2 linked regions of the Mus musculus genome follow. The protein of the gene in region 1 purifies or fractionates together with the protein of each later gene. This does not show direct contact. Links are inferred from orthologs where the notes say so. Each region holds a gene or a part of one and is shown in the gene's direction. Other genes may lie near its edges.

Region 1 (4,129 bases):
GATGTGGGTTGTATGTCTAAGGCCTTAACAGTCTTCAGATGAGAAATGTACTCAGAAATGAGAGTGTGTCTGGTTGGTGCAGTGCTTGTCCAGCATGTGAGAGGCTCTGAATGTAATCGTGCAAAGCAAGCACCACAGACAGACAGCAGGCCTGGTGCTTACACGTGCACTTAGTGTACGGACTTCTTTCTAGTCAGCTCTTTACAAAGGAACTTATGTTGTGTTAGGGAAATTGTATCCAGTGGAGTGGACCTGCAGCACAGGGGGGGATGCAGGTGGCTCTGTGTTAGATGACCTGAAACACAGGGAAGGAGAGGATGCAGGTGGCTCTGTGTTAGAGGACCTGAAACACAGGGAAGGAGAGGATGCAGGTGGCTCTGTGTTAGAGGACCTGAAACACAGGGAAGGAGAGGATGCAGGTGGCTCTGTGTTAGAGGACCTGAAACACAGGGAAGGAGAGGATGCAGGTGGCTCTGTGTTAGAGGACCTGAAACACAGGGAAGGAGAGGATGCAGGTGGCTCTGTGTTAGAGGACCTGAAACAGGGAAGGAGAGGATGCAGGTGGCTCTGTGTTAGAGGACCTGAAACACAGGGAAGGAGAGGATGCAGATGGCTCTGTGTTAGAGGACCTGAAACACAGGGAAGGAGAGGATGCAGATGGCATCTGTGTTAATGTTGTGCCGTTTCATAGAAGGATCTTGAGCATCCATACACTTTAGTGTCTTGGGGATGCAGTTCCTGGAATCAGTCATGAAGGACAGTGCAGGGGAGACCAAACATTGCCTTCATGGAAGTTTTAATGGTATGAGAGGCCTCACAAGGTAATGACCCAAAGAAGCTGTCGCATCTTACAATACACTGAGAATATTGGACAGAAACTAGCAGGTTGGAAAAAAGTGATTCATTTGGGCTAGGCGGTGGTGGCACACGCCTTTAATCCCAGCACTTGGGAGGCAGAGGCAGGAGGATTTCTGAGTTCGAAGCCAGCCTGGTCTACAGAGTGAGTTCCAGGACAGCCAGGGCTACACAGAGAAACGCTGTCTCAAAAAAACCAAAAAAAAAAAAAAAAAAAAAAAAAGATTCATTTGGGAAGCATAAAGAAAAGTATCTTAACAAAGTCTGTGTGGCATCCTTGATGAAATCGCTGTGTAGGAGAGAGGTAGCCTTTGTTCTGCTGCTGTAACAAAATAGCCAGGACTGAGTACTGTGTAAAGAAGGCAAGTTATGAGTTCTAGTGGCTGAAGGTCAAAGATCAGAAGGCTCTGCCTACTGTGTCTAGTGAATGCACCCAAGGTGGTTCCCTCTGTAACAGCTAGCTGTCTTGGGAGCCAGCTGGTGGCCCATGAGACCAACATCCATCCCTTCAGAGGATACACCCACATGAGTGATGGAGAGCTGCAAGGCCCTGCCAACTGCACATCACGACAGTGGGACCAAGCTAATACCACCATAAGGGATGTCAGAGGCATCCTTTCATGTGGAGATTTCACTTCTTGTTTTGGAAAACAGGGAGAGTTCTCGTACCTGTGATTTTAGTTTTTAAAGTAGATTTAATTCAAAAGTCCCAGCTTATTTTGAGAGCATAATTTCTTTCAGAGTAGAGGGCCTTCTCTTTCTTTAAACACATTGGCAGCAGGTATGGTCCAGTGTGGACCGTTGTCCCTTCCCCCTCTCACCCTGCAGGGGCATGTTATGGACCGAAGGAAGAAGGCCCTGACTGACTATAAGAAGCTTCGGGCCTTCTTCGTGGAGGAGGAGGAACACTTTCTGCAAGAGGCTGAGAAGGATGAGGGTGCTTCCGAGGATGATGAGCTGGCCGACCCGGCAGATCGCTTCCGGTCCCTGCTGCAGGCTGTGTCAGAGCTGGAGAAGAAGCACCGCAACCTGGGCCTCAGCATGCTTCTGCAGGTACCACCTGGGCAGGGGGTGAGCACCTCTTTCCACAGCACATCTCTAGTCAACTCAGCCACGGTGGAAGAGAGACTCTCCTACAGGCAAGGTTCGAGCCACAGCCCACCTTGCCCCTGTTGTGGCTCAGGTCTGAGTATCAGAGAATAAGTAGGTGGTTGGGAAAAGTAGTTGGAAGGAACTTAGAGCTGACGAAGCTAGGAGATGCCTAGGGTCTCACTGGGAGGGTTTTCCCCACCTTAGGCTCTGTGAGCAGGAGTAGCCAGGGTATCCCCCCTGTCATCCCTCATCCTCATCTCATTCCCCGAGTCTTGGACCAACACCAGAGGCAACCTGCTTGGAAGTCAGCCTGAGCTTGTAATGGGGCATCGGCTGCCACCTGTAACTGAGGTATTCCCTTCCCACATACCCATCAGCTGTTTGGGGCCTATACAACCTCAGAGACACAGGCTTTGGACCCCTCTTAGATGGGTTGTCAAGTCACCTTGGCTCTGTGTGCATTGTACGCAGGATAGCAGCACTCTGTCTTACTGTCTATACCTGTGTATCTCCCTTCATTTTCTCTTGTCTCCCTGTCTTTCCCCTTTGTCTGTTTGTCCCTTCTCTGCAGTGATGATGCTGGCCCAGCAGGCTGGCCCCCTGGAGCACGAGGCAGAAGGAACCACCTTCTACAGCTGGCCTGCAGCACCCCTACCTACATCCCTCAGGCCTCTGCCTGGCACCACCCTTCATCCTGGACAGATCCCCATCTCCATCAACACTTGACAGCCTGGGATGAAGCATCAGAGGTGCCCCGCTGGCCATGCACATAGTTCCATTGTTCAGCAGTGTTTTTCATTTTCTTTGGGGCATGAATGTGCTCGGGCTTGTACCTGTTCCAAATAGAGACCTACCAGTCCTGGGATTCCTTTCCCAGTGTGTGCCAGCCCTGCCTGGGACCACTTGGCAGCTCGGAAGCCCCTGCTTCTTGTTTTGCCATGGCTCAGCTTAGTGTGGCATTCGTTCTAGTATCCAGGAACCAAGCCTCACACCTTTCCCATTGGTGCCCGTGACAGGGTTGGCTCACTAGACATCCCTCAGCAAGGTTCTGAGGCGCACCAGTTACAGTCAGCCTGTGTGTGTTAGTGCCAGAGAATAGGGATGCAGGAGGTCCTGGGGTTTGGCTGGGACCTGAGTGTTAATGCAGTATTCCTCACCCACCAGAGGACCTCTTTCCTCACTTTGGGTCTCACTGTGCCAGGTCCTGGGAGCCGCCTTCTGCTTCGCTTCCCAGCCTCTCTTCCTCCCAGCTTGTGCCCCTTTGGGTGTCGCTGGCATCCCCAAAGTGATTTCTCCTCCTTCCCACCTCTGATGGAAGGGACCTCCTTCCCTGCAGAAGAGCAGCAGGGTGGCATCCCCAGGCCGCCGGGTGCTTCACTTCGCTGTAGTTTTGGCTTTTGCTCACCTCATATTTTCTCCAATAGGTGAATTTCACAAAACTTGTGACGTAGCGGTAGTGTGGTTGCCTGCAGCATCGTGTGTGTAGATAACTAGTCCAAGAAACAAAACCCGGCAGAGTGGACAGACACAGGTCAGGGGCCAAAGACATAGATGTATTTAGGTTTCGGGTAACAATGTTCTGTCCCCAGAAGGCCCCAGCCTTGGATGTAGTGACCGGCCTCAACTTGACTCGCAGGTGGGCTGGGTTTTCAGTGCTGAATAAAGTGGTTTGCTCCAGCCTCTCTGTTTCCATACCTCCTAGTCTTTGTCTACACAGCTGCTTCCCCCTTCCCTGACCAGGTTCCAAGGACTTTGATACCTTTGAAAGCAAGATAAGGAGACTGTCACTAAGATATTCCAGGATGGGGTGTGGGTGTGGGTGTGTGTCATCCCAAACCCAGCGTTGGCTGTGGGCATTGCATCTGGGAAGCAGGATCCATGGATGGATAGAAGGACCAAGAGGAGACATCGTGGTGAGAGGACTCTGGCTTAGCCCACCAGACAGGGTCTGCAGAGGGCTGGCCAGCTGCGCAGATGCACCCAGGGTGGAAGGTAACAGACTGGTCACATTCATACCCAGGGTGACTGGGTGCCCAGGCTGTAGCATCCTTGATCCTTGAGTCATGCAGATGGCAGGCAGCGAGAGCAGCCCTGAGTAGTGTGCTCCTCAGTGACAGAACGTGGTCTCTGTTGGGGACCAGAATGAACATTAAACTGATAGACTAGCAGGTGTGGAGAAGGT
Region 2 (4,153 bases), on another chromosome or scaffold:
TCTAATACCATCTTTTGGACCTCTGTGGAACCAAGGCAAAGACATAAACTCAGGCAAAACACCCAATACAAAATAATTAACTTAAAAAACACGAACAGATTTTTATCATTTTTGGAGTGATTCCAGATAGGCTCCTGATAGATAAAAGACTGACACACAGAGAATCAGGGGCTAAGGTAATCTCCATTGAGGTTCATTTCTTAGTCTACCCTGCATTGTTTACCCTTGTACTAAACACAAGAGGAAAACCCACAATGCTCCATGAGGTTAAACAGTGACTTATGTTTTGAGTTGAAGTTCCCAAAGAAATGTCAAGTTTTGGTGTTAAAAAATTGACTTTTCACTTAAAAAAAAAAAAAGTTTGCTGAGCAAGGTGCCCCACATTTGTTATTTGAGCCCTTTATAGGCTGAGGTAGGGGGAGCAGAAATTTTAAGCTAGCCTCAGTTATGTAGTGAATTGGAGGAAAGCCTTAGCTACATAGGAACCTGACTCAAAACAGCAAAATAGGGTAGTCAACATGAGATGGATGGTTCAGGGTACCTGAGCTCGATTTCTGGGACCCACAACCAAGAAGAAAACAGATCCCACAAATGGTCCTCTGACCTTCACCTGTGCTCACTTGTACATAATTAGAAACACAAAAAGGAAGAAAAAGGAAGGAGAGGGAGAAAGGGGGAGCGGAAGGAAGGAAGAAAGAAAAGAAAAAAAAGAAAAAAGAAAAGAAAAAGGACGAACCTATGAACCTACAAAAACCGGGCTAGCAGAGGCCCTGGCTTGGAATCCTAGCTGTCTGTGGAAGCTGTGGCACAAAGAGTTGGAGGATATCCTTGACTACAGAGTAAAGCCTGTTTAAAACAAAATTTAAAAAGTAATACTGTTTCCTTTTGTAAGGTACTCCCAGTGCAACTCCTGGTTTCCAAGCTTCACTTTGAAATCATTTGCACCCGCCCTCAAGTGTTTTGTTGTTTCTTCTTCAAACTTGGTGGTAAATGGAATCAATGTTAAAACGCGGACCGGATTAACCTTAGTGCGGGTGAACAGTGTGGCCTTTGCATCCACCCTACCAAGCCGGTTGTCCCGATTCCTCGCGGCCTTGGCGTTGCGCGCGGGTCCGGCAGGATCTGCGCCCGCAGCCGAGCGGCTCGGGGCCGGCCGGTGGGTGCGCACGCAGCGCGGTCGCCCCCGGGTCACGTGCGGCCGGGAGTCTGCAGGAATGTAGCGACGCGCAGGGAAAGTTTCCCCGGGGGCCGCGGGCCGCGGATTCGGTGCGGGCGGGCGCGCAGAGGAAGGAAGAGCGTCGAGGAGGCGGAGCCCGCGAGGCGCGCGGGCGGGCGCTCCTCGCAACTTTTTAGTTTGGGCGTCTGGAGCCAAAGTTTCTGTCTCAGTTGGGACGCCGCCGCGGCCGGGGGCAAAGAAAGGGAGGAAGGAAGGAGCTCGCGGAGGGGAGGGGAGGAGAGGGGAGGCGGCCTCGGGCAAGGAGTGCAGGGCGATGCGGGCGCGCGTCGCAGCCCCCCGAACCTGAGCGCAGTGCCCCGAGCGTCGAACGAGGCCGCAGCCATGGAGCCCGCGCAACAGCCGCCGCCCCAGCCGGCCCCGCAAGGCCCCGCGCCGCCGTCCGTGTCTCCGGCCGGGACCCCCGCGGCCCCGCCCGCACCCCCGGCCGGCCACCAGGTCGTGCACGTCCGCGGGGACTCGGAGACCGACTTGGAGGCGCTCTTCAATGCCGTCATGAACCCCAAGACGGCCAACGTGCCTCAGACCGTGCCCATGCGGCTTCGCAAGCTGCCCGACTCCTTCTTCAAGCCGCCTGAGCCCAAGTCCCACTCGCGACAGGTAAGGGTATCCCGGGGGCGCGGGGCCGCGTGGGGGTGCGGTGCTGGGGGTTGTTTTCGCGGAGTTGGCCGCAGGGGGGGTGCACAATGCGCGCGCCTCCGCTCCGCACCTTCGCTCTGACGAGGGGGAGGGGAGGAGGGGGAGGGGGCCGGCGTCTTGTGCGGGACCCCAGCCGGGGGTACCCGATCTCCCCTTCCCGCGCCACTGCAGTCTCCGGTGGAGCTGTGTTAACTGCCCTCTTGTTTTCGCGTGCCGGTGAGGGGTGGGGGTTGAACTGGTCCATTGAGTTTCTGGTTCCTTCTCCCGGTCCCCTCCCCCTCCCTCTCCCGAAAGCTTTTCTGTTCTCGCGGCCCAGGCGCTCTCCGGATGCAGGGTTCGGGCTCCCCAGCCCGAGCGAAGCTCCCTCGACCCCCCACTCGCCTCCGCCGTGCCCTGGAACTCGCGCGGGCGGGATCCTTTCACACTCGGTGGGCTCACGTGTCCTTTTCCTAAATCGTAACCTATTATTTACTGTTCGGCCCGAAAGCTTTTAAATGAGCCACGTCTGTGTGTTGCGCAGGAGCTCGGCTGCGCTCACGGTGCAGAGGTTTCTGCGCCGGCCTTTGATAGCGCGTTGCAGGTTGACTCATAGGCCGAGTTCTGCCCGGCTCAACTGTGATTAAAGGTAATGTTTGGGAAGCAATGACTAATTCCAAGCTCGCCATTGCTCTTTAACTGACTGCGGATGTGAACATGGCTGCTTATCCGTATCCACGACGCCTGGTTATTTTCCCAACTGGATCCAGCACAGAAGTGAAACCGTTTCAAAGTATTAACATTCCGATAGGTCCTGGTAGATTTCTTTAGTGTCGCTCCCCCCGCTTTTAATTACTTAATTTTTAAAGAACTTGCTTTAGGCTAAAGCAGCACAGGAACTTTGCCCAAAACTTAATTGGTTTTCCAAACACTGCCATGTCGTTAGCCCACTCGGGCTGTAACTTGAGTGGAAAGAAGAGTTGCCGCCCCCACTCCAGCCCCCCCTCCTAGGCAGGCTTGTTGTAGAACGGGGTTTTTGAAGCTTCGAAAATCTCGATTAACCTCCCTACAAAAAGCCTCTTAAGAAGGAAGGAAAAGTTATCTAGCTGCTCGGCTAAATAAACTCTTAATTTGTAACAACAGTAGACCTAGATACTATTTGCTCCCTCCCCCACAAGTGAGTTTCTGTACTCGCTGAACTAAACGTATGTGACATGCAATCGAGAAACCGCTGGGGCAACTTTGAAGGAATACACAGATTGAACGCTCCATTTTGTAGCACTTAGAAGTCAGAAGGAATGAACCCGGGAAAGTGTACTTGTAATACTGGCTTCCACTGGGCCGTTCGTGGGTACATTTGCATTCTCTCTAAGCGTTTTAAGAGAGCTGTTCGTCAATAAATTTACCTTTTCTGTGCGCTAATGGTTTCCTAAAATTCAATCTATCTGGAAACTCAAAAACGGGGTTTTCCTATGGGGCTTTAAATGACTGCTGGGTCTTTTCAGTTTCCTTATCAACATAAATCTAGAAAAACGTTTTGAGAAACCCTAATTCCAATAAAAGGATTGGACTGTGAATGGTATGTATCAGAGTTAGTAAATAATCATCCACAGGCCCCTGCCTGAGAAGTCTTCTAGCCCTATATCCTCTCGCTTGGAAAAGCTCATTTACACACAAGTTTATTCCTGACCCCTGTCTTAACACTGGTCTGATTGGACCCAAATTTGAATCATTGGGGTCTTTGCAGATTTTTCTTTTGTCCCTCACCCAGCTATTATAAGTGTGTGAATCCACAAATTATAATTGAATTGAAAAAGTCTTTCTCTAGGCACAAAAAGGGCTAGCCTATTATTCTCTTCATTGAGGAGCTTTTAGCATTGGTGCAGTTCTGAGAGTTTGAATTTATTAAATGTTGTATAATTTATAATGGCTGACTTATCACATTTGTTTACAGTCAAAAAAGTGAAAGATGGGGGAACATTAGACATTTACAACAAAGAAAAAAGTGCCCAGTCGTTCCCCAGGTTTTGTTCTAGAACCTGGAAAAGTAACCACACTGCTTAGAAAAGTACTGATTATTTTGAGTTATGTAGGATGAGCATTATTCTTTACCACTAAATAAAGTTATTATGCCTAGTATTTGTTGTTTTCACACTGTCTAGGAGGTAGACATTCATCCAGATGGACTGTTCATCAGTAAAATAACATTTATAATGCCTATTAAATTTTTGTAATGGTCTATTTGGTCTGGTGTGTTCCTGTTGTGTAAGAAATTAAACATTAAAGTTTACATTTGATACTTAG

Evidence for each region. Proteins that work in one complex are often made in the same cells at the same time.
Region 2: the proteins of Rnf187 (region 1) and Yap1 purify together in Homo sapiens (affinity purification with western blotting; 3 studies listed by BioGRID, with this or other methods). This does not show direct contact. The link is inferred for Mus musculus from reciprocal best matches to the Homo sapiens genes RNF187 and YAP1.

Annotation. Positions count from the first base shown.
Region 1 is NC_000077.6:58,931,786-58,935,914, reverse strand, and holds the end of Rnf187 (E3 ubiquitin-protein ligase RNF187), read left to right. Parts: intron 1-1,683; coding exon 1,684-1,908; intron 1,909-2,518; coding exon 2,519-2,521; 3' UTR 2,522-3,627; downstream 3,628-4,129.
Region 2 is NC_000075.6:8,001,796-8,005,948, reverse strand, and holds the start of Yap1 (transcriptional coactivator YAP1), read left to right. Parts: upstream 1-1,352; 5' UTR 1,353-1,558; coding exon 1,559-1,834; intron 1,835-4,153. UniProt on the Homo sapiens protein: Transcriptional regulator with dual roles as a coactivator and corepressor. Critical downstream regulatory target in the Hippo signaling pathway, crucial for organ size control and tumor suppression by restricting proliferation and promoting apoptosis.